Macaca mulatta: one gene and its partners. The main gene of each other region encodes a partner of the protein of the gene in region 2 in a complex. Links are inferred from orthologs where the notes say so. Each region holds a gene or a part of one and is shown on either strand. Other genes may lie near its edges.

Region 1 (6,558 bases), on a different chromosome or scaffold from region 2:
GTGACAACTCAGGACATTTTTTGCCAGCTAGCTTTTTCAGATTGATAAACTTGATAAGGTCAAGATAAATTTAGGCACTATAATAAATCTTTAAATCAACAGTAAACTGACGAAAAAAAAAAAACAACAAACCACCACTTCATAAAGATTTTTTTTTTGAGACAGTCTTGCTCCGTCGCCCAGGATGGAGTGTAGTGGTGCAATCTCGGCTCACTACAACCTTTGCCTCCAGGGTTCAAGTGATTCTCCTGCCTCAGCCTCCCAAGTAACTGGGATTACAGGTGCCCACCACCACACCCAGCTAGTTTTTGTATTTTTAGAAGAGGTGGGGTTTCACCATGTTAGCCAGGCTGGTCAACTTCTGAGCTTAAGTGATCCGCCTACCTTGGCCTCTCAAAAGTGCTGGTATTACAAGTATGAGCCACTATGCCCGGCCTGAAGAAAATTTAATTAAAATACTGTTTTTAATCAAAGAAATTTTGTTTTGACTAAATTTAGTAGCACTGAAAAACAAGTGTCCACACTTCAGAAATTAAAGAACCAGTAAGTGGTCCTGGAGAAAATGCTAAATGAAAAAATAGAGTAATAAACTGTAATGTCTTCTTGAGAACAGCATACAGGGCTCAGACAGAATGTTTTAAGAAAACATTGTCAACAAGCCAGGTGTCATCAAGAGTAATGAATCTGATGAACCAAAGTGACAAAATGGATTTAAACGGTGTCTTGTTTTTAGAAATTCCAACATCCCACTATTTATATAGCCTCTTATTCCACACGACAGTATGACAAACTTAGTTTGTCTTTTTTTTTTTTTTTTTAACGTTTTTTGAGACAAAGACTCTTTCTCTGTCACCCAGGCTGGAAATGCAATGGCACAATCGCAGCTCACTGCAGCCTTGACCCCCTGGGCTCAATCGATCCTCCCACCTTACCCTCCAGAGTAGCCAGAACTACTGTGCCTGCCACCAAGCCCGGTGGAAAAAAAAAACCCGTAAGAGTGTCATACTGTCATATGGGAGAAGAGGCTATACTATAAACAGTGGGATATTGGAATGAATACACACACACACACACACACACACAGATATTTGTAGGGACGGGTCTCACATGTTGCCCAGGGGGGTCCTGAACTCCTGGGCTCATGTGATCTCCCTGCCTCAGCCTCCCAAAGTGTTGGGTTTACAGGTATGATGAACCACAGCGCCCGGCTGACACACTTTTTAAAATGCAATTTCTGTTTAGATCTTGACACCTGTTGATATTACTAGTCACTATGGAAAGAAGCAAAAACAGTTAAGATGCTCTAACATTTTTTTCCCCTGTAGAAGCCAACATGGAATACACCATGAAAACTGTCTAAATGGGAACCTTCTAATACGGCTCATTGTACGCCATGCATTTCCACTACGTTGGAACTGACTTCTACTTTCCTCCTTATCTATTAGGCGACTTAGTCGCCTCTAGGCAAGTAACTTCTCTGTTTCATTTTCCATGCAGTAAAAAAAAAAAAAAAAAAGGTGGAGGACTTTAGAGAGCTTTTACCCGAATAAGGTCTATTAGACATCTTCAAAAGCTTTCTCTCCAGACGACGCAGAAACAGGCACACGGGATTCTGTGCTTTCCCCACCTCCCACTCCCAAGCCCAGGCCCCATTCTTCTCACTTTCAATCCTCATTTGGGCTCCTAAAAGAATAGCAAAGAGAGTTCTTTTATCAATACCAGCGCTCCTCTGTCCCCAAATCCGGCTAGGGATGGGTTCGGAGGCCTCAGCTGCTGGAGAGAGGGTAGAGACGATCCTTCCTCGCCCATCTAGCCAGCCACCACCCCTTCCCAGATCTAGCGTCCGGGCCCCTGACCAAGCGCGTGCTTGGAGCTCTCCGGTACAGTGACGCGCGCGCTTGCCCGGCTAGGGCCCCTGTGAAGGAATGGGATCCCGAGGTGCTTGCCAGGACCGCAGCAGGCGGAAGCTGCTGGCAGCGGGAACGGGCGGCTCCCGTCAGCGTGGGTGGGGGAAGGGCGGCAGCCACATCCGGAAGTCGGTCCGGGAGGGAGGGGGAAATCTGAGGAACGAAGCTTCCGGCGGCGCAAAGGGTGTCGGGAGCGGCTTCCTGCAAATCTTCCCTGGCCTCTGGAGGGACCACCGTTGCCGCCGCTTCGGCTTCCAGGATCTGCGTTCGGGTTACGCGGCCACGGTGGCAGCCACTGCGACTCCCACTGTGCCTGGCTCTGTCCATATTAGTTCCCAGGCGGCCGTCGCCGTTCCAGCAGCGGCAGCGGCGGACATGTTGTGAGGCGGCGGCGCGGGTGTCTGAAGGATGGTTTGGCCGAGGCGGCGGCAACGGCTGCTGGCGGCGGCGGCAGCGGCAGCGGGGCCTCGGGCTCTATAGAGCCGAGCCCGCTGGGTACCCGCCCGGTACCGCGGCGAGGCCAGTGCCCCTGGATCTTGCCTCTTCGACGCCGTTGGGGACCAGTTAGGCGACAGTGCCCGCCCCTCTGAGGAGACCCGAAGGTGGTTCCCCAGCCGCTCAAATTTCCGGACCACCGCGCTTTCCCCTCAGCCTGGGCTGTGCTCTCTCTAGAATCCTCAGGCCCCCACTTTCTTCCCAAACTCATCCTAAATCTCTCACACACGCGAGCGTTCCCAGCCCTCAAGCCAGCTCCTCCTCCGTTCATTTTCTGCACCCTCTTCGCGAAGCACCCCCCGGGATCACTCTCCGAGGGCGGCTTTTTGAGAGATCTCCGTGGAGTAGTGGACCAGAGCCGGGGAGTTTTTAAAAGCCGGGGCGCGAGAAACAGGAAGGTACTATGGCTTCCTCGTCTGGCAACGATGATGATCTCACTATCCCCAGAGCTGCTATCAATAAAATGATCAAAGAGACTCTTCCTAATGTCCGGGTGGCCAACGATGCTCGAGAGCTGGTGGTGAACTGCTGCACTGAATTCATTCACCTTATATCTTCTGAAGCCAATGAGATTTGTAACAAATCGGAAAAGAAGACCATCTCACCAGAACATGTCATACAAGGTAAGTCATGTGTGGAAATTGGTTTGAATGAGGGTCTAGGGGAGCAGTCTGCTAATCGCGTGACGCTTTCATGTCAAAGCCTTCATTCCTCTTCACTGGTAAGTAACTTAATGAAAAAGCCAGACTGGCATGTAGGTAGCCCGTGCTTTAAAAACAATCCCTTTGTAGCATTCTTGCAGTACTTTTCATCTAGCGAATACACGTAAGGAGTGCAAACATTTAGGTCAACGTCCCCAAAACATAAAGAGTGATCTCACTTTACAGCCAGGTAAGCCGAAGCAACAGGAATTGCTTGCCTGAAGTTGAACTTAGATAATAATTAAGGAACGCAGAAGTTCTCCCTTGGAAAATTAAAAATTCAGACAGAGGAACTTCAAGTATGGATGGAGACAGAGCGCCCCTTCCCCACCTGACCTTTCACCAATGTAGAGGAAAAGATTTATTTTCTGAACACATGAGTTAAAAAATTCTTAATATACAATGTGTTCAACGTTGTCAAGTTTATCGTTGTTGAATAAAAGGAGGTATGTTTTCTGCTCTAAAAATGGTTTGATGGTACGTTCATGAATGAGTTACGAAAGCACTCCTGGTCCATTCTGTAAGAAAAGGGTGAACTTTAAATTTTTGTTTTTTTCTTTTTGTTTGCCTTTATGTCGTTTGCTTTGTTCTATTCTGTGGAGATAAGTTTTAAAATCTTTGATTGAAAGTTTATGCAAGTTTTTTTTTTTTAAACGGAAAATTTCCCCGTCCTTTCCTGCTGTCATTCTTATTTGGATGCATACACTTAGGCTTTTATTGAACAGCACTTCTGAAAGCTTCAACAGTTTCTTTTATCCTGAAAAGGTTGTGGTCCCGTAATAGGGATTTGGGGGACTGTATTCTAATGGTTTCAGAGAGGAGAAACATATTTACTAGTCATAATGTTTCGGGAATGTACCTTTTGCGATATTTTTACATGTACTCTTGTGAAAGAGTTGTTCTCAATTTGAAGTGAGAACTTGCCTTTCGTAATAATCTAATTAAAAGTATTGATTGCTTGTGAAACCAGGGAAAAAATGGTTAATTTTAATCATTTTGGTAGGCAGGTGGTTGTCTGTCACTTAATTTTTATACTTTAACTTTTTAAAATGTGACTTGCCTGTTGTACTGAAGTAGAGAACACATCTGCTTATGTTGACCATATCCAATATTTTACTGTCAGTATTGACAAAAGGATTAAATGATTGATTTTTAATCCTTTATGACGTCTTGAAAGTAGTTTTAAAATATATCCTGCCATTTCAGTACATAAGGAGAAAAATCCCTAGGAAAAAGCATATTTGATTCTTAAAACTAGTACTAGTTTTTTTTTTTTTTTTCTACTTGATGTGCTGAATACTCTAGCAAGTAAAATGAAAGCCAAGTTGTCTGTTTTTTCTCTTGTGTATTTATTTTTACATTGTATGTGTGATTGCTGTCATAAGTCTTTCACAAGATTATCCAGCACAGATAGCTGTAATTTCTTTTTACAACTCATAAAAAGGAAAAAGAACTTTTTATCAACATTGCCTTTCTAATGAAAATTGCAAAAGATTTCAACAGGGTCTGCCTAAATATTTGTTTACACTACAGAAGTGGGGATCGTTCCAAAAACCTAATAACACATTACAGTCTGTCTTCTTGGGGAGAGTTAATTCTTTTCTAGGATATATTTAGATTTCTGATTGACATGATGGAATAGAAGTGCAGCTGTAGCAAGCAGTATGCTAAATAATTCAACTTTGGAATATGCTAAATTCAGTTTAATGTGTGAGTCAGAAAGCTATAGTGAAAAAGCATTTCCATTGTGTAATGAAGATGATTTGTTTTTGAAAATCATGTATTGACGTGTTATAGTCTTAAAATTTTACCTCTTTTTTTTGTATTATGCTATTGTTAGGTGGATAAGAATCTACATTTTCGCCCAAGAATTCTCCCTAATTGGGGTTGTAGACTTTATACATTTATAATCTCATATTGCTTAATTATTCCAAAGAAGTTTTGTTTTGAGAGGTTAAATTTTTAAAGAAATTCTTAAGGTTTATATGTTTTAGGTGTTTGAAGTGTGTTCCTGTACACTAATCATAATAGATAGGACATTTTTATACTTTTCTGTCAGCATTGATTAGGAATGTAGAATATATCCAAGTGGAATAAATAATGTACATTTTAAAGTGGTATGATTCTCACATGTTGAAGTTTGAGTTTTTAGTGGTAAGTTTAATGAACTGGACTTTGCTTTAGGACATTTCACTTGTTCATTTCCCACCTTGCTTTATCTTGTCTGAACAAATTAAGCATTCTGAGATAGTTCTGTAAAATGCAAGTTAAAGTTGAACCAATTTGATCACCAGTAAATCTATTAAATAACTTAGTTTAAAAAAATTTTTTTTCTGTTTTGCTTATTTTGAGTTTAAGAAAGTAGACTTGGTATTGAAGATCATAGATATGTGAATAGAGGGAGTTCTAAGCTATAAAAGGTGTTCCTATTTTATTGCAGTTTTTTGTGAACACGTATTCTTGAATGAGTTCTAACATGTTCTGTCACCTTATAGAAAGAATTGACATTGAGAGTCAGCTTAAGTTCTGCACTGAGAATTCTTTAACCTTAGGTAAATCTTTTAACTAAGGTTTTCTTATTTATGTATAAATAATACTTGATTTCAGGTATTACTTGTAATTTTTGAGAATTAGTCAGGGGTTGAGAACCTTACATGAAATATCTCCCCTCCCATTATGAGAATTGTAACTGGAAGTAGTAAAAGTTTGAGAGTATCTGAGAATTTACATCTTCAGCCACTGAGTTGCTCCAAGCTGTCTTATGTTGAAGGAGTTTTTAAAAAATTCCTGTCCGTCTCACACTGGTACCTTTGTAAGATAACATGAAAATGGATCACTGGAAAAGATGAGGAAAAGACCAACACTTAACTTTTTACTATTAGATTCAATAGACATAAAATTATTTTGTCAAATTGCAATGAAGGTACTTAAATGCGTTGAATTTCCATGGTTAACTAATGTTAACCATTAGGAGCTGTTCCGGCATAAGTCCATGGACCACACTTTGAGAACCTTTGCTTTAAAGCCTAAACCACAGTCTGTGTTGGAAAGTGGACATGAGTAGTAAATAATCATTCATACAGATATTTTTTCCGAAGGGACACATCTAATTTGCACTGCAAAATTTATCACATAATCAAATGCTTTTCAAGTTAGGATTTTATTAATACTTTTCTTAAAATTAATGTATCTTTTGTTTCTGTTTTCCTTCTGCCACCCTACAATTACTTACTGAATACTATCAAGTATTTGGCATTGTGCTAGATACTACTAAGGATATTAAGATAAATGATACTCAATTCCTTCCCTGCCATTAGTCTCTCATTGTTGTCCAAGATTTCCAGTAGTGATACCATGGAGGACATGGTTCTTAAGGGTCTTCAGAAACCTTTGCCAGGCTAATGAGCCAAGAAGTCACTTTGGCCTACATCCTCTTAATGTATTTTATGTGAAAT
Region 2 (5,892 bases):
GCCCATACCCAAAATAAAAGACCAAAGCAACCAAAGTCTTACCATGAAACAAGGCTTGTGGGGGCATCACATCTGGAATCAGATCTGCTTCTGAAAGCAAGCTAGGCGTGGCAGAATGAGAGGCAGGTGTCCCGGGAGCAGAGAAATCCAGAGAAGGAGAAGGAGATGGGCTTGTCAGTGGGGTACGGTCAGAGGAGCTCAAGGAGGAAAAGTCAATCACTTCGCCTTTTTCCAGAATCACATCTGGCCTGCGGCCTCGGCTTATGAATTTTACAGGGGTAGAAGACGTGCTCCTGTCAAGAAAGCCAGCGGCCTCCTTCTGGGCTCTTCTAATGTCTTTTGCTTCCTGAGTTCGAGACCTTTTCTCTTTTAATTCCATGGCAGATTCCACAGGATTCCGACTTGCTCGTTTTCTAAGTCCCTCAACAGTAATGATGGGATCTAAAGTTGGTTTTGAGGCTGCTAGGAAAGAATAAATACAGGCTGAGTATCCCTCATCTGAAATGCTTGGGCACAAGTATGTTTTGGATTTCAGATGTTTTCAGATTTTTGAATATTTGCATTATACTTAGGCCTGAGTATCCCAAACCCAGAAATCCAAAATCTGAAATGCTCCAAATGAGCATTTCCTTTTAACATTATGTCGGTGCTCAAAAAGTTTCAGATTTTGGAGTGTTTTTGATTTTGGATTTTCAGATTTGGATTGCTCAACCCATATCTAAATTTTAAAATAACTACTCAACTTTAGTTTCCTTTGCTAATTTATCATTATGCATAGTATCATGTTCAAGAAAGAGAAATGTTCAATGAATGCCCTAACTAAAAAAGACTTAGATATCTCTTGAGAAAAAAGAAGTTATACTGCAAATTTAAACAAATAAATACTGTCTTTCACCTACTGGAACTGGTAAACATTAAAAGTTTAGCCAGGCGTGGTGGTGCACGCCTCTTAATCCCAGCACTTTGGGAGGCTGAGGTGGACAGATCTTGAGCCCAGGAGGTGGTGGCTGCAGTGAGCCAAAAAAAAAGTTTGATAAAGCTCAGTAAATGTATGGGGAAATGGGCATTTTTATGGGCATTTCAATGGGCACTTTTTTTTGGGGGGACAGGGTCTTGCTCTGTTGCCCAGGCTGGAATGTAGTGGTGTGATCTCGGCTCACTGCAACCTCTGCCTCCCGGGTTCAAGCAATTCTCCTGCCTCAGCCTCCTGAGAAGCTGGGATTACAGGCATGCACCACCACACCCGGCTCATTTTTGTATTTCTGTACAGATGGGCTTTCATCATGTTGGCCAGGCTGGTCTTGAACTCCTGACCTCAGATGATCCACCCACCTCGGCCTCCCAAAGTACTGGGATTACAGGCATGAGCCACCACGCCCGGCCTTATTACAGTTTCTTGGAGGATAATTTGGCAATCCTGATTAAAATTTTGAATGAATATGCCCTTTGATGTAGGAACTCTGTTTCCAGGAATTTATCACATTTTCACATGTACACAAATTTGTAGAATTGTAGCACTGTTTAAAGTAACAAAAGGTCAGGCGTGATGGCTCACGCCTGTAATCCCAACATTTTTGGAGGCAGAGGCCAGAGGATCACTTGAGCCCGACAGTTCAAGACCAGCCCAGGAAACATAGTGAGACCCTATCTCTATTATTTTTTTTAAATGTTTTAATTAAAAAATAAATAAATAAAACAACAAAAAGGTAGAAACAACCAAGATGTCCATCAACAGGAGAATGGTTTAACAAATTATCACATAATTATATAATGGATGTAATGAAATAAAATAGGGTAAATCTACATGTACTGTCACGGAAAGATGTCCAAGACATACTGGTAAGTGTGGCAAAAATGGAAAACTCATATAGTATGAGTCCATTTTACTTTTTTTAAAAAGTAAGAAAATGCTTAAATCTGCAGAGATCATTTCTGAAAGTATTCACAAAAGACAACAGTGGTTACTCTGGGAAATGAAATTGCAGGCAATAGGCAGGAGGGGGAACTTTCATACTTTACACCCTTAAGTACTATTTGATTTTCTTCCCAATTATATTAAAGCTCATCAGTCTGGTCCGGTGGCTCACCCTGTAATCCCTGCACTTTGTGAGGTCAAGGCAGGTGGATAGCCTGAGGTCAGGAGTTCGAGACCAACCTGGCCAACATGGCAAAAGACGTCTCTAATAAAAATTTTAAAAAAATTAGCTGGGCATGGTGGCATGTTATTTGGGAAGCTAAGGCACGAAAATCATTTGAACCTAAGAGGGAGAGGTTACAGTGCGCCAAGATTGCACCACTGCACTCCAGCCTGGGTGACAGAGTGAGACTCTATCTCAAATAAATAAATAAACAAACAAGCAAACAAATAAATATAAAAATTTAAAAGCTCATTAAAAACTTTTTAGATCATAAAACCAGATCAATATGTGATAGTAAGAAGTTACTCTTAACATCTTTTTAAATATGAAAATGGCATTATGGTCAGGCTGCAAAAAGGAAAGAATCCTGATCTCTTAGAGATAGTCTAAGATATTTAGAAATGAAATGTTGATTCCTGGGATTTGTTTCTATATAATCCAATAGTAAGAATGGGGAAGGTTGGGGGAAAGTATTGAGGATTTAGATAAAATGAGACTGTCAGGAGTTAATGTCAAAGTGAGGTGGAAGGTACATGGGAATTCATCATGTTATTTATTAAGGGAATTTTAAAACATCTTTTCACCTTTGTGAGAAGTTTAAAAACAAAAACCAGATGGAAAACATTGAACCTTTCAGATACCCTGGGAAATTTATAGAAATGACAGCTTGATTAGGAAATGATAAAATGTTTTTATGTGGCATTTATTTCTAGCACACACACAAGTATCATCACAGAAGTATTAAGCAGAGTAGTTCCAGAGAGGCCTGCAAGCCATGCCCAGTGGAAGCAGGAGTGTCTCCTGGACTCACACCTGCTTGGCTCTGGTCTGACTAGCATCTTTTGTACTGTTCTCACAACAGTACCTTTTATTTTCAAAGTAGAGGCAGACAACTTCTCTCCTTCAGGTTTCATCGTTGGGGGCTTGTTATGAACAAGTTTCCACCATCCCGGCTCTCCAAATTCCTGAGCACCTGAACGGAAGTACATGGGACTTCCCACGCTGAGGCAACCTGCCACGGTGCTCCACCAGGTGGACGTCTTTTTCCTAAAGAGTCCAAGAATTTGAAAATGATTGGCACTTCAATTTGCTCATTATACAGAAAAGACAGTCTGTGTATACTGTGACTCCCGGCCTGCAACATGCAATGGCACCTCCAGCTACTGAAGGAGCAGAGCACGAGAGGCAGGAGAGAGGCTCTGGAGTCCACCTGCTTCAAACCCTGGCACTACCAACTTCTAGCACCCTCGGTTTGTTCATCTGTAAAACCAGGATAATAGAACTTACCTCACAGGGTTGCTAGGAGGATTAAACGAAATAATTCAAACAAAGCATGTAAAATACTTCTCATCACAATCATCACGATTATGGAATTCTACAGGCTAATTTTAATTAAGTTGCTTTTTTATGTGAATTAAGCACAGCTCCCAAGAATAAACCATACAAAAAGTGTAACTCCAAGCCTGGGCATTTTGTGATAGAAGTTAATCACTGGCTCCAGTGAACAGCTGATTTTACCCGAGAAGTCGCACACATTTCTCAATCTGATCCTATCTGCCTTGAAGCACTAGAGTGGTAACAAAACTATGTGGCATGTTCCACAAGCACCTACTGCACGACAAAATAACCAAAATGTACAAAATGTCAACTATTTGGGGTTCCCTGTTGAAAATTCTTTTAAGGCAACTGTTCTATTTCCACCTTGAAAACATAAATCGAATGCCAAAAATCCTCAAAGACAGTCTTTCACAAGAAGACCAGTCTAACAGTTTGAAGATAATGCTGGGAAGGCAAAGGAAAAGCATTCTGAGGAACAGCGATGTATTATTAATAGAAAACACAGAAAATAAATAAGCTAAGATACAGTAGGCATAAGCACTATCTGAGGCCGGGCATGGTAGCTCACGCCTGTAATCCCAGCACTTTGGGAGGCCAAGGCGGGTGGATCACCTGAGGTCAGGAGTTCGAGACCAGCTTGGCTGACATGGTGAAACCCCGTCTCTAGTAAAAATACAAAATTAGCCAGGTGTTATGGCACACGCCTGTAATTCCAGCTACTTGGGAGGGTGAGGCAGGAGAATCTTTGAACCTGAGAGGCGGAGGTTGCAGTGAGCCAAGACTGTGCCACTGCACTCCAGCCTGGGCAACAAGAACAAAACTTGGTCTCAAAAAAAGCACTGTCTGAGATGGAGAGAATGAAACCCCCAACCTTTTGGTCCCAAAGTACCTATCCTACATTCTTCTCTTTTTCTAATCTTTCCAAACCCTAATACAAAATGTAACATAAACACATACAATAGAATATTATTCAGTCTTAAAAATAAAGGAAATCCTGTCATATGCTGCAATGTGGATAACCCTTGAGGACATTATGCTAAGTGAAATAAGCCAGTCCCAAAAAGACAAACACTGTATGGTTCTGCATATATGAAGTATTTAGAGTAGTCAAAGTCATAGAAACAGAAAGTAGAAAGGTGACTACCTAGAGCTGTAGGGAGGGGAGAATGGAGAGTTATTTAATAGGGATAGAGTTTCAGATCTGCAAGCTGAGAAGAGTTCTGGCCATCTGTGAATCTATATTCAAATATGTGAATATACTTAACACTACTGAACTGTACACTTAGAACTGGTTAAGATGGTAAATTTTCACTGTTTTCACTGCAATAAATAAACAAAAGTTTGGCAAACAGACCTCATTTCTACAAAAAAAACCCAAAAATTAGCTGGGTGTGATGGCACGTGCCTGTGGTCCCAGCTACTTGGGAGGCTGAGGTGGGAGGATCACTTGTGCCTGGGGGGTCAAGGCTGCAGTGAGCCATGACTGTGCCACAGCACTCCAGCCTGGGTGACAGGATGAAATCCTATCTCAAACAAAAACAATAAAAAGATTGACAGACTCAAAAGATTTTAAAAACCAATGTGTTATTTAGTGTGTGGAAAATGGGTGCGTACTTGTACATTGACAGTGGGACTACAAACAGGCATATACTTTCTGGAGGTTACTTTCATAATGTACAGCAAAATTGTGTGTATCCTCTGACCTCACAAATCTACTTCTAATCATAAAAACACAAAGGATATATATACAAGAATATTCCCCACAAGGCTAACTTAAACACACAAAAACTGGAAACAATATAAATCTTTATAAAGTTATTGTCCAGTGTTACAGATTTAATTGTGTTCTCCCAAAAGATGTTGAAGTCCCAGTACTTGTGAATGTGACCTTACGTGCAAACAGTGATCAGGAGGTCATGAAGTTGAACACTAATCCAATATGACTGGTGACCTTATACAAAGGGGAAACTTGGACAGAGAGACAGATGTGTAGAGAGGGAAGATGCATGAAGACACAGGGAGAATGTCATCTACAAGCCAAGGAAGGCCTGTGGCACAGAAGCTAGGGAGAGGCATAGAACATTCTCTCCCTCACAGCCTTCAAAAGGAACCAACCCTATCAACACCTGGATTTCAGATTTCCAGCCTCTAGAACTGGAATACATTTCTGTTGTTTAAGCCATCCAGTTTGTGTTACAGCATCATTAGCAAACTAATAGAGCCAGCTAAATCACAGCACAGACACATAACAAAATATTTGCATAAAATGGAATAAATTTATTGCCAGGACATATATAAACACAGTATTTATGAATGGCCTAAATAGTTTTCCCCCAATGGCCGGGCGCGGTGGCTCAAGCCTGTAATCCCAGCACTTTGGGAGGCCGAGACGGGCGGATCACGAGGTCAGGAGATC
Region 3 (6,632 bases), on a different chromosome or scaffold from region 2:
ACTTGGTAGGCTGAGGTGGGAGGATCACTTGAGTCCAGGAGTTCAAGGCTGCAATGACCTATGGTTGCATCACTGCACTCCAGCCTGGGCAACAGAGACAGATCCTGTCTCAAAAAACATATATATTGACCAGCCGGGCCCGGTGGCTCAAGCCTGTAATCCCAGCACTTTGGGAGGCCAAGGCAGACAGATCACGAGGTCAGAAGATCGAGATCATCCTGGCTAACATGGTGAAACCCCATCGCTAATAAAAATACAAAAAAAAAAAAGAGCCAGGCATGGTGGTGGGTGCCTGTAGTCCCAGCTACTCAGGAGGCTGAGGCAGAAAAAGCCGTGAACCCAGGAGGCGGAGCTTGCAGTGAGTCAAGATAGTGTCACCGCACTCCAGCCTGGGCGACAGAGCAAGACTCCATTTCAAAAAAAAAAAAAAATATATATATATATATATAGACACACACACACACCACTTAAAAGTGTGCAATTCAGTGGATTTCAATATATTCACAAAGTTGCACAACAATCACCACTATCTACTTCCATAATGTTTTCATCACTCCAAAAAGCAACCGCTTACCTCTTAAGTGTCACTCTCAATTCTCCTCTCCCTTCAACCTCTGGCAACTACTTTTTGTGTCGATAAACTTGCCTGTTTCTGGACACTTCGTATAAATAGAATCATACAGCACGTGGCTTTTTGTATCCGCCTTTTTTTTTTTTTTTGAGACGAAGTCTCCCCCTGTCGTCAAGGCTGGAGTGCAGTGGCGCGATCTCCACTCGCTGCAACCTCCACCTCCTGGGTTCAAGCAATTCCCCTGCCTCAGCCTCCCAAGTAGCTGGGATCACCGGCCTGGGCAACAGACTGAGATTCTGTCTCCAAAAAAAAAAAAAAAAAAAAAAAACAAAGAAAAAGAAGAAAAAGAAAAAATCTGCTTCATAAGTCTTGTTTTCTGTGAGAAAACTGCATCAACTCCCACCATCTACTTTCTATCATGATAGAAAACAGACTGAAAGCAGAGCAGGACCAAAGGCAGGGAGATGTGGAACAATCCAAGAACGTGGCAACGAACATTCAAGTAAAAATCCATGGTTGATGAGAAGAGGACAGGACCAACTATTTCTGAGAATCTATCCTAAGGAAATACGGAGCAATGTACATCATACGTGGGCTGCACTCAGAGATCTACAACGTAATGTTAGTTCTCCTCTTCCTATGGATTTTATAATAAAAAATAACCCACCGCAAACTATCATGCATCCGCTGAATGAACATGAAGCATTGGAAACTGAAAAACATGTGGGGAGAGCTCTGAATGCTGTATGTCAAGCTACCTATTTTTAATATCTAAAGAACCTTTGACAATCAATTAGGAAATAACAAAAGATGCCAGAGAACAAGAAAAGAAATTCGCAAATAGCCAATAAATGTGAAAAAAATGTTCAAACATACTAGTAATCAATAAATGAAAAAAACACAAGACATCATTTTTCATCGATCCAGTTTAGTTTTGGCGCAGATGGAAATAGGGGCACTTTTTTTCTAATTTGCACTCATTAGTTTCATTTCCTCACATTCCATTAAACTATTCTAGTCTGGTTCCCACCTTCCACTTCCAGAACTATGGACAGGAAGACCAATGACCAAAACCAATGACCTCCGTGTTGCCAAATCCAATTGACAACTTTAATGAACATCTCAGAAGCCCTGATAAAAGGACCAATTCAACATCTTCCAGAAATATCTCTTTTGGCTGCCATGATACCAGCTTTTTCTCCTACCTCACTTGCTGTTTCCTGTGTCCTTTCCTCAACCTTCTTCCTCTGCCAGACCTACAGGTATTTGAGTGTCTGAGCCCCTTTCACTTCTTCACGCTTCCCCTCAGTGATCTCACACAGCACCATACCTTTGAATGTCATCTATGTACTGATCACTCCAATTTTTTTTTTTTTTTTTTTTTTAAGAGACGGTGTCCTGCCTTGTAGCCAAGGCTGGTCTAGAACTTCTGGGCTCAAGCGACCTGCCTCGGCCTCCCAAAGTGCTGGGATTACATGTGTGAGCACTGCGCCCAGCCACTCCGATTTTTATCTCTAGCTCTAGCCTCTCTCTTCCTTGAGTTCCAGCCCTCTACATCCAACTGCCTCAACACACCGACTTCATAACTAATAAGCATCTAAAATTTAATACATCCAAAATAGATTTCGATATTTTTCCCACCTCAAATTTCTCTCTTCCATTCTTCATCTCAGTAAACGGCACCACCATTCACTCAGGTGCTCAAAACAAAAATCAAAAAAGCAAAGACTCCCACCATTCCCTCACCAATTCATTTCCAAGTCTTGTTCATTCTACCTTCAAAACACTTAAAAATCTGTTTACACTTCCCCATCTCCCTGCCATGGGCCTAGTCTAAGCTACTGCAAAGAGCACAGTAACTGACCTCGTAGGTTCCTCCCCAGCCCTCTTCCTCTACATAGCAGTCGGATTATGCTACTCGCCTTCTCAAAACCTTCAAAGGTTTCCCGGAAAAACTAAACTCCTAATCAGAGCATCATCTGCCCTATCTTTTAAAGAGTATACACAAACAGGAATATACATCCAAGGGTAATATCTCTAGACCGTAAAACTGCGGGCATTTTTCTCTTGCTTTGCTTGTATTTTTAAATTTTTCTACGCTGAATACTCTCTACTCATTAAGGGGAAATGATATTGCTGAATACTATATGATATTATGGCGCATTTTGTACATGTGAGCGAGAAATGGAAAACGTGGGTCAACTCTGTAACTGCTGAAGGCTTAGATGAAAATACTAGCAAACATCAAACTAAAAAAATGATGTGTCAGGCCTATAAGATCGCTGATGGCATTTCTCTTTCTCTGCTTTCCATTTCTTAACATAATCACATTCATGATGGGGAGAACCTCATTGTCTTCTGCAGTCTGGCCACAGCCCTCCAAGCCAGCCTTTCCTGCAGGAGTCCTCACTTTCCGAGGCTTCCACTCCGCCCCGCACTGCCCGCAGCTCCGGCGCGTTGGCCCCGGCCCCCTCCCTGGAACCCCAAAGCCTCTCTAACCCCTCCCCTCCATCCCGGGAGGGCCGGTGGGGATGGCGACAGGTTGGAGGGGCATTCCAGGATCCTTTCGGTAAACCCACGACTTTCTGGTCCTGGGGCCAAATCTTGCCTCCAAGGCCAAGAGCTTAACATCCCGAAACCTCCGGCCGCTGAGGCTCGGGGACCCGCATCCCCTCAGCGGAGCGCCCCGCTGAAGAGGAAGCCCCCAACTCACGTTCCGATTCCAGGCTCCCGCTTCTGCGGCTCCTCGGCCCGCACCTGGGATCCTCCCTGCCCTCCCCTCCGGCCCGGGGCCTCACCGGGTCCCGCCGCGGCGCAGCCGGCCGATGGGGGAGGGGCGCGCACGTGCCCGCGCCGCCCCCGCCCAAACAATGCCCCAGACAGCAGGGCGCGCGCCCGCGCGGTCCCTTCCTGCGCCCGCCAACACTCACCCTTTCTCCGGGTCTCCAGCTGCAGCGCGGCCCCGCCGGGCGCCGCGAGAGGGTAGAGCGAGGTGAGGGAGCGGGCGAAGCCCCGCGGAGCTGCCCAGCCACGAAACCCCAGCGACCCCCGCAGCCCGCGGAAGCACCCAGATCGGTGGAACCCGCCCGACCCGTTCCGCCCCGCACGTCAGCAGCCGGGCGCGTCGGGGCGCGCGCGGCGGCGGTGGTGGCGGCGGCGCGCGCGCGCGGCCTCGGGGCGGAGCTCGCAGGGATGAGGGCGGGGCGGGGCGGGGCTGGTCCAGGCTGCGACCCCGGCCCGCGAGGCCACTTCCTGGGCAGTGTGGGCGTCGATTCTCGCAAAGGCGTGGTTGTCCATCACTTTTCTGCCCCAGAAGGTGGCGAATTTCAACCCCAAGTTTGACAGAATATTCATTCTGCCGGTATGTATGAGCTTCCCTATTAATTACAATAGTAACAATGATTTTTGTGTGTGCCATCTTTGTCCCAACCCATGTGCTAAGTGCTGCGTATACAAATAACAGTAGTTATTGCTAGCCCATTTTACAGATGAAGAGATTGAGGCAGGGAAGGCTTGAGACTTATCCCAGTCACACTAGTGACAATCCAAGTCCAGTTTTCCATCTAAATATCTCTTGAGGCCAACATTCTCTTTCGTTCTAACTCTACCACCCTCTACCCAAGACCCTGTCATCTCTCTGCCCAGGACTATAAATAGCCTCCCAACTGGTCTTCGGGGATCTTCTGTTCCCCTTCAATCCCTCCTCACTGTATAAAGATTTACTACTGGAGCTGATTTTTTAATACTTTACCTACATGTTATCAAATTTTTATGTATTTAATGTTTTTATCTACACATAATACATGTAAATGGTGTTTTGTTTTTTGTGGTTTTTTTCTTTTTTTTTTTTTTGAGAGAGTCTCCCTCTGTTGCCCAGGCTGGAGTGCAGTGGCATGATCTCGGCTCACTGCAGTCTCTGCCTCCCTGATTCAAGTGATTCTCCTGCATCAGCCTCCCAAGTAGCTGGGATTATAGGCATGCACCACCACGCCCAGCTCATTTTTGTATTTTTAGTAGAGAGAGGGTTTCACCATGTTGGCCAGGCTGCTCTCAAACTCCTGACCTCAGGTGATCCACCCTCCTCAGCCTCCCAAAGTGCTGGGATTACAGGCATGAGCCACCACCCCCAGACTAATTTTTTTTTTTTAAAGACAGGTCTGACTATCACCACAGCTAGTCTCACACTTCCAGGCTCGAGAGATCCTCCTGGATGGGCGTGGTGGCTCACGCCTGTAATCCCAGCACTTTGGGAGGCTGAGGCGGGCAGATCACCTAAGGTCAGCAGTTCAAGACCAACCTGGCCAACATGGTGAAACGCCATCTCTACTAAAAATACAAAAATTAGCCAGGCATGGTTGCACATGCCTGTAATCCTAACTACTTGGGAAGCTGAGGCAGGAGAATCACAACTCGGGAGGTGGAGGTTGCAGTGAACCATTGCACTCCAGCATGGGCAACAAAAGTGAAACTCCATCTCAAAAACAAATAAACAGGGCCCGGCGCGGTGGCTCAAGCCTGTGATCCCAGCACTTTGGGAGGCCGAGACGGGCGGATCGCGAGGTCAGGAGATCAAGACTATCCTGGCTAACATGGTGAAACCCCGTCTCTACTAAAAAATACAAAAATTAGCCGGGTGAGGTGGCGGGCGCCTGTAGTCCCAGCTATTCGGGAGGCTGAGGCAGGAGAATGGCGTAAACCCGGGGGGCGGAGCTTGCAGTGAGCTGAGATCTGGCCACTGCACTCCAGCCTGGGCGACAGAGCAAGACTCCGTCTCAAAACAAACAAACAAACAAACAAACAAAAACAATTAAGAAAGGCTTCCTTGAACCTTAAGCTAAGACTCAAGAGATAATAGGAACTGGGGAGATAAACATAAATTTCATGGAGAAGGGGGTGAGGTCAGAGATCAGGATGAGTGTGTTGGTGTTCCCCTACTCTTGGGGTTTAACACTCAGGTGGGAAGCATAGAAATACCCAGGTAAGTGCTGAGGAAGCTAGAAGTTGACCTCCCCTGGTCTAGCTTGGAAGGCTGTCCAATTCTGTGAGAAGGCTCACACAGCAGGGCTCGGGAGCAGGCCATGGCATTGGGAGGAGTCTGCAATAGTGCTGCTGGGGCACTGCAGTTTGCACAGTAGGTATGTCAGAATTCCAGAGTTCTCTTGTTGCTCCCTGCCTGGCATGCAGAAAGTAGCATGGTTGCCGGGCGCGGTGGCTCAAGCCTGTAATCCCAGCACTTTGGGAGGCCGAGACGGGCGGATCACGAGGTCGGGAGATCGAGACCATTCTGGCTAACACGGTGAAACCCCGTCTCTACTAATAACTAGCCGGGCGAGGTGGCGGGCGCCTGTAGTCCCAGCTACTCAGGAGGCTGAGGCAGGAGAATGGCGTAAACCCGGGAGGCGGAACTTGCAGTGAGCTGAGATCCGGCCACTGCACTCCAGCCCGGGCGACAGAGCAAGACTCCGTCTCAAAAAAAAAAAAAAAAAAAAAAGAAAGTAGCATGGTTACGAGCCACGGACAGACCAATAGGCACTGTGCCAAGGGGCAGGTTTCCTAAAGCAAAGGCCTTGTGGTAGGCTGATGGCCAGGGAATGGCCACAGAATGTAGCTAAGACCCCAAGGATGGGCAGTACTGAAGATACCAGTGGAGCTGAAGCACTCCTAAGTCAGCTGGTGAGAAGAGCAGGGATGGTAGATTGGGGATGAAAGATGAGACATCAAACTCTGTGAAGATGCTAAAGCAACAGGTCATGAGCTTGCCAGCCAACCACCTCAGCAGCTGATGCCCACAGGGCAGTGGAGACTGGAAGTCACCAGAGACATAGCAGCAGAGGCCAGTGAAAACTCAGGCTACAGCTCACAATCCTGCACACAGATCTCCCCTCCCATGCTGCCCTGAGGCTTCCCCTGTATCCTGTAGGCCACCTTGGGAAGTCAAGGGGGAGAAGGGTAAAGTTCTGATAAAACTGAAACTTTGAACTGTTTACCCAAATATTCACCAAAATGAAACTTTTTTCTTTTTCTTTTGAGACTGAGTCTCGCTCTATTCCCCAGGCTGGAG
Region 4 (5,372 bases), on a different chromosome or scaffold from region 2:
TTCCACATAACAGTAGCTGCATCTTTCAAATGTTTAATTTGTAACCGTGTAATGAGAGGTGACAATGTGCTAGCAGCCCTCACTCTCTGTGCCTCCTCGGCCTTGGCGTCCACTCTGGCAGCGCTTGAGGAGCCCTTAAGCACACCACGGCACTGTGGGAGCCCCTCTCTGGACTGGCTGAGGCTGGAGCCGCCTCCCTCACTTGCGGGGAGGTGTGGAGGGAGAGGCGCGGGCGGGAACCGGGGCTGCGTGGGCACTCGCAGGCCAGTGTGAGTTCCGGCAGGCGCAGGCAAGGGCTCGGGAGCCCCATAGGGACGCCGAGCGGCCGGCTGGCACTGCTGGCCCAGGGCAGTGAGGGGCTTAGCACTGGGGCCAGCAGCTGTGGAGGTTGCGCCTGGTCCCCCAGCAGTGCCAGCCTGCGGGGGCTGCACTCAAATTCTCACCGAGTTTAGCTGCCTCCCCGCCGGGTAGGGCTCTGGACCTGCAGCCCGCCATGTCTGAGCCCCCCAACTGCAGTGGGGTCCTGTGTGGCCTGAGCCTCCCCTATGGGCTCCGCCCCCTGCTCCGTGGTGCCCGGTCCCATCCACCGCCCAAGGGCTGAGGAGGGAGGTGCGGCTGGGGACTGGCGGGCAGCTCTGCCTGCAGCCCAAGTGCAGGATCCACTAGGTGAAGCCAGCTGGGCTCCTCAGCAGGGTGAGGACTTGGAGAACTTTTCTGTCTAGCACTCTGTGTCTAGCTCAAGGATTGTAAATGCACCAGTCGGCACTCTGTCTAGCTCAGGGTTTGTAAATACACCAGTCAGTACTCTGTGTCTAGCTCAAGGTTTGTAACTACACCAATTGGTACTCTGTTTATAGCTAACTCTGTATCTAGCTGAACCTAGTGGGGACTTGGAGAACTTTTCTGTCTAGCACTCTGTCTAGCCCAAGGATTGTAAATACACCAATCAGCTCTCTGTAAAGTGGACCAATCAGCAGGATGTGGGTGGGGTCAGATAAGGGAATAAAAGCAGCCTGCCCGAGCCAGCAGTGGCAACCCGCTCTGGTCCCCTTCCATACTGTGGAAGCTTTATTCTTTCACTCTGCAATAAATCTTGCTGCTGCTTTCTCTTTGGGTCCATGCTGCCTTTATGAACTGTAACACCACGAAGGTCTGCAGCTTCACTCCTGAAGCTGAGACCACGAACCCACTGGGAAGAATGAACAACTCCAGATGCGCTGCCTTTAAGAGCTGTAACACTCACCACGAAGGTCTGCAGCTTCACTCCTGACAGTGAGACCATGAGCCCACCAGAAGGAAGAAGCTCCAGACACAGCTGAACGTCTGAAGGAACAAACTCCGGACACACCATCTTTAAGAACTGTAACACTCACCACAAGGGTCTGCGGCTTCATTCTGGAAGTCAGTGAGACCAAGAACCCACCAATTCTGGACACAATAATGTATGTACTGCCTAATAACTGGGGTATTGTAAAGGTGAGGCTCTCAAAAGAGAGGTACTATAATTTCTTTGTAACATCCTAATTGCTGTCCAAAACCAGACCTGGTTTTATAATATTAGCTAACATTTACTGAGCAATTCCCTTGAGACAGACAGTTTCAAACATACATGATCTCACCTCTTCTTCATAACAGTAAGGTAGTTTCTATTACTGTCATTCCCATTTCACAGACTGGGAAATGAGGACAAAGACAGATTAAGTAAGTTGTTCAAAGTCACACAGTCAATAAAGGGATAAAGCTGGATCTATTGTTTATTTACATGAATACTGACATCTTAGAAATTAAGAAAAACAAGTTCATACATCCATTTAAAATTCATTTCAGTCAATAAATTTTTGTTGAATGCCTATTATATGCAAAGTACTGATTTAAACTAATAAACTGGTTAACACCAATGTTACAAATATAAAGTCCTTTTAAAGTATCAATATCAAAATAAATTTTCCTTTCTGTGGTCCACAAAAGAAAAAAGATGTACCAGCACTTTTAAATTAAGTTTTTCAATTTCCAAAATACCTCCTTTAAAACAGAAGGGAATAAATTCCAACAATGCTATTTTCAACACATTCATTATTTAAAAACTTACTGGAATATCTGAAGATTACTTGCTGCAAGCTGGACTCGTGAAAATAAACCTTGACTTCACAGAGAAGTCTACATTGATAAATATATATCCGTTGAATTAATAACAGTGTAAGTTACACATATGTATACAAAAAAGTAAAATGACAAGGATGGAGAGGAGTTTTTCATGGAAGGTGGTGGGTTGCCATGGATTCTGCTTCTCTTGATTTTCTGAGGAGGGCTTGTTTGAGGGCACTAATTTTCTCATCAAGTTCAGCCAGTGAATAGTTCTGCTGTAAACAATAACGACACAAATTGCTGAATAAGATTCTGAAGTATCTTAATGCAGATAAAGTGCCAAATGAACTATAAATATTTAAAATATTTAAAAGCATGATCAAATGGGTTTTTTTCCCTCATGAGAATAATCTTAAACCTGCACAACTATATATGTTGACTATATCATAAATTTAAAAGCATAAAATAACAAGGCTTAAATATTTCTCTTTTCTAATGATTAAGCTCTCCTGAACCTTTTATACTTTGAAAGAATAAGTTTACAAAAAAAAAAAAAAAGCCTGATTATTAGACACTGGAGCCTATTTGAAGATGGGAGGAGGGAGAGGACTGAAATATTGCCTATCGGGTATTATGCTGATTACCTGGGTGACAAAATTATCTGTACACCAAACCTCCGTGACATGCAATTTACCCATGTAACAAACCTGAAAACCCCTTGAGCTTAAGTAAAAGTTGGAAAGAAGAAGAAAAATGCTAATTATACTACTACCAGGAGAAAAAAATCATTTGAGATATCAGCTATCCCTTTTAATAGAAAACTTTCTATGTTGATTACTAAAGTTAACCTGAAGTGGAAAACAGTGAAGAAAACACTCCTTTTGCTTTCCAATAAAAATTGGATTTGTTCAAGTCTATCTATGTGAACACCCTCACTTGCATTAATATTTCTAATTTAGACACAAGTATTATGTGGTGACTATTAGGGGGTAAAGAGAAAGGGAAATTGGGACTGAGTGCTAATAGGTACAGGGTTGGGGCGGTGATGGAAATGTTCTAGACTTAGTGGTGATGGTTGTACAACATAGTGAACATACTAATAGCCACTTTAAAATTATGAATTTTATGTTATGTGAATTGTATTTTTAAAGCAGCAACAAAGTGTTACAGTTTACTACATAAGAGTAACTTTTAAAAACCTGATTATTCTCATAATCAATAGTAAAAAAAGTTAACTTTAAAAATAACTGCTTAAAATACCTAGAAATTCTCTCTTGAGGGATCAACTACAATAATTTACTTCTGGAAAAAATAATTGCTATCAAAAAATTTACTCGGAATTTTTTAAGAAAAAAAATGCTACTCTTAAAAATTAGAAAGTCTTCTCCAACTTTAAATTCACATTACCACTATTAAAGTCTAGCAAAGCCTTATTATTTAAGGTTCAACTAATTAGTAAAGTAGCACTTTAGACAGGGCCAGCTGAAGTCAAACTCTGCCAAACACCCTTTTTGATGTAGATGCTACTAATCAGAAGTGTTCACAAAAGGAAGGGATGGGGGGAGACTGAAATTACTTGAGCACTTACTATTTTTAAGCACTTGATGAATGACACATCCTTGTACTACTAAAAGCAGGACAAAGGTTTTATTTATTTAACCTATCTGAGTCATTCCATGCCCTTAAAAGAATTTTTCTATTCAAGTATATTAGTTTATACTGCCCTTTTCTTCAGTCGTAAATTGTACCAGGGTATGACCTAAAAGCAACCATAGTAGAAACTTTTATTAATAAGAAAGGTATAAAACTAATCAAACTATTTCAGAAACCAAAATGAAAATGCAGTAACTTACTTGAGGTGGTTGAACTTTTCTTCTTTTTCCAGAAAAGCTCTAGATTTTAAAAAAAAGTAATCAACGTTTAAAAAAATCTAAGCATTATTTTTTTCTTTATGAAATACCGTACAAATTACGTACAGCCTTGGGAACTCTGACAGAAAGAAAGCCAACCAATTTACCAATACCAATTATTGTCTGTAACCAACATCCACCTTATATTCTGCAAGTTACCCTCTAAAGAGGATGACATTAACAATATATAATAATAATACTGCAGCAACATGCTTATCTTTGGCAATACATATTTTCCCATCAATTACCAGCTTCTAATGAGCCTGGGTGATTGTGGAAAGAGGTGCTCTGGGGATTTTCTGCTTAGTTTTTTTTTATAACCTTTCCATCCCAGGGTGTTGAACAAGCGAAGTGACAATAGACAAAGGAAAAATATAATCTGGTATATGAGGCCAAGAGGTGAAAACACACACACACACACCCTGGACTGACTATAATGGACACTGTGGTTGTTTATGCAAGGAGCTACCTATCCACTGCTTCTCTGTGTGGCCCAAGCCAATGGCTTCCTGGTCTTATCAGTGACTGAAATGGGCATGGGTCCAGTTCTGGCCAATGAGTAAAGGAGAAGACTGCTGGAGATTAAGAGGAGAACTTCTGGAAAAAGCTTCCTCACATCTTTTGAGAGAAAGCCCTCAAAGAAGGCAGTTTCTCAGGATACTGCTGTATCTGGGTAAGACACCTGAAAGTGCTGTAGCCATCTTGCCATCTGCCTGGGAAAGAAGGTAACACCAAGCAGAGTTAAGAGGGGAAAGAAACCTATTTTCTTACAATTATGATTTAGTCACTGAATCAATTAAATCTGAAGCTTGTGCTACCATGGACTTCCTATTTTATAGTTTACATAATGTTTAAGCCAATTTTGAGTTCAAATTTCTTACAGTTGAAGCTGACAACATTCTCATTGATCCACTAATGAGCCTTTTAAATCTTGGTCTAATGAATTCTTCCTAGACTTTTTCTTAGTTTCACACAAGCACTAGCTTTTAAATGGCAAATTAGTAAACTAGTATATTTAACAAACTGAATCTCAGAGACAAAATGTTCTCATGAGCATTTCTGACTATTGAAATTTTGAAGATAGCATTAAAACTCACATTTTCCTTTGTGTCAAAAGTTGATTCAAAGAACATCTAGGTATGCTTCTTATCAAGTTACAATAAGTTGGAAATCATTAAGTATTAGAATTAGTAATTATGAAATAATAGAGTTCAGATAATTATGCTCCTTCCTTTGCCAAACCAAGCTGCATACCTGTGGTAGGGCCTATGGGCAAATAAGGAATCAATGTTTAATTTGGCAATTGATCAGTCTCCTGACTTCCTAAGAGGTGGCTTTGTATACACTTAATGCAAATATAATTCCCCTTGGCCAGGC

What was found.
Region 1: KAT14 (region 2) and DR1 share a complex: the UniProt entries of both Homo sapiens proteins name them as parts of the ADA2A-containing complex. The link is inferred for Macaca mulatta from reciprocal best matches to the Homo sapiens genes KAT14 and DR1.
Region 3: KAT14 (region 2) and YEATS2 share a complex: the UniProt entries of both Homo sapiens proteins name them as parts of the ADA2A-containing complex. The link is inferred for Macaca mulatta from reciprocal best matches to the Homo sapiens genes KAT14 and YEATS2.
Region 4: KAT14 (region 2) and MBIP share a complex: the UniProt entries of both Homo sapiens proteins name them as parts of the ADA2A-containing complex. The link is inferred for Macaca mulatta from reciprocal best matches to the Homo sapiens genes KAT14 and MBIP.

The regions. Positions count from the first base shown.
Region 1 is NC_133406.1:146,924,256-146,930,813, reverse strand, and holds the start of DR1 (protein Dr1), read left to right. Parts: upstream 1-2,623; 5' UTR 2,624-2,805; coding exon 2,806-3,025; intron 3,026-6,558. UniProt on the Homo sapiens protein: The association of the DR1/DRAP1 heterodimer with TBP results in a functional repression of both activated and basal transcription of class II genes.
Region 2 is NC_133415.1:65,840,671-65,846,562, forward strand, and holds part of KAT14 (cysteine-rich protein 2-binding protein), read right to left. Parts: intron 3,186-5,892; coding exon 3,004-3,185; intron 463-3,003; coding exon 43-462; intron 1-42. UniProt on the Homo sapiens protein: Component of the ATAC complex, a complex with histone acetyltransferase activity on histones H3 and H4. May function as a scaffold for the ATAC complex to promote ATAC complex stability. Has also weak histone acetyltransferase activity toward histone H4.
Region 3 is NC_133407.1:95,833,680-95,840,311, reverse strand, and holds the start of YEATS2 (YEATS domain-containing protein 2), read right to left. Parts: upstream 3,712-6,632; 5' UTR 3,502-3,711; intron 3,418-3,501; exon of another isoform or gene 3,285-3,417; intron 868-3,284; 5' UTR 575-867; intron 1-574. UniProt on the Homo sapiens protein: Chromatin reader component of the ATAC complex, a complex with histone acetyltransferase activity on histones H3 and H4. YEATS2 specifically recognizes and binds histone H3 crotonylated at 'Lys-27' (H3K27cr).
Region 4 is NC_133412.1:109,417,770-109,423,141, forward strand, and holds the end of MBIP (MAP3K12-binding inhibitory protein 1), read right to left. Parts: intron 3,978-5,372; coding exon 3,939-3,977; intron 3,845-3,938; exon of another isoform or gene 3,674-3,844; intron 2,361-3,673; coding exon 2,253-2,360; 3' UTR 1,737-2,252; downstream 1-1,736. UniProt on the Homo sapiens protein: Inhibits the MAP3K12 activity to induce the activation of the JNK/SAPK pathway. Component of the ATAC complex, a complex with histone acetyltransferase activity on histones H3 and H4.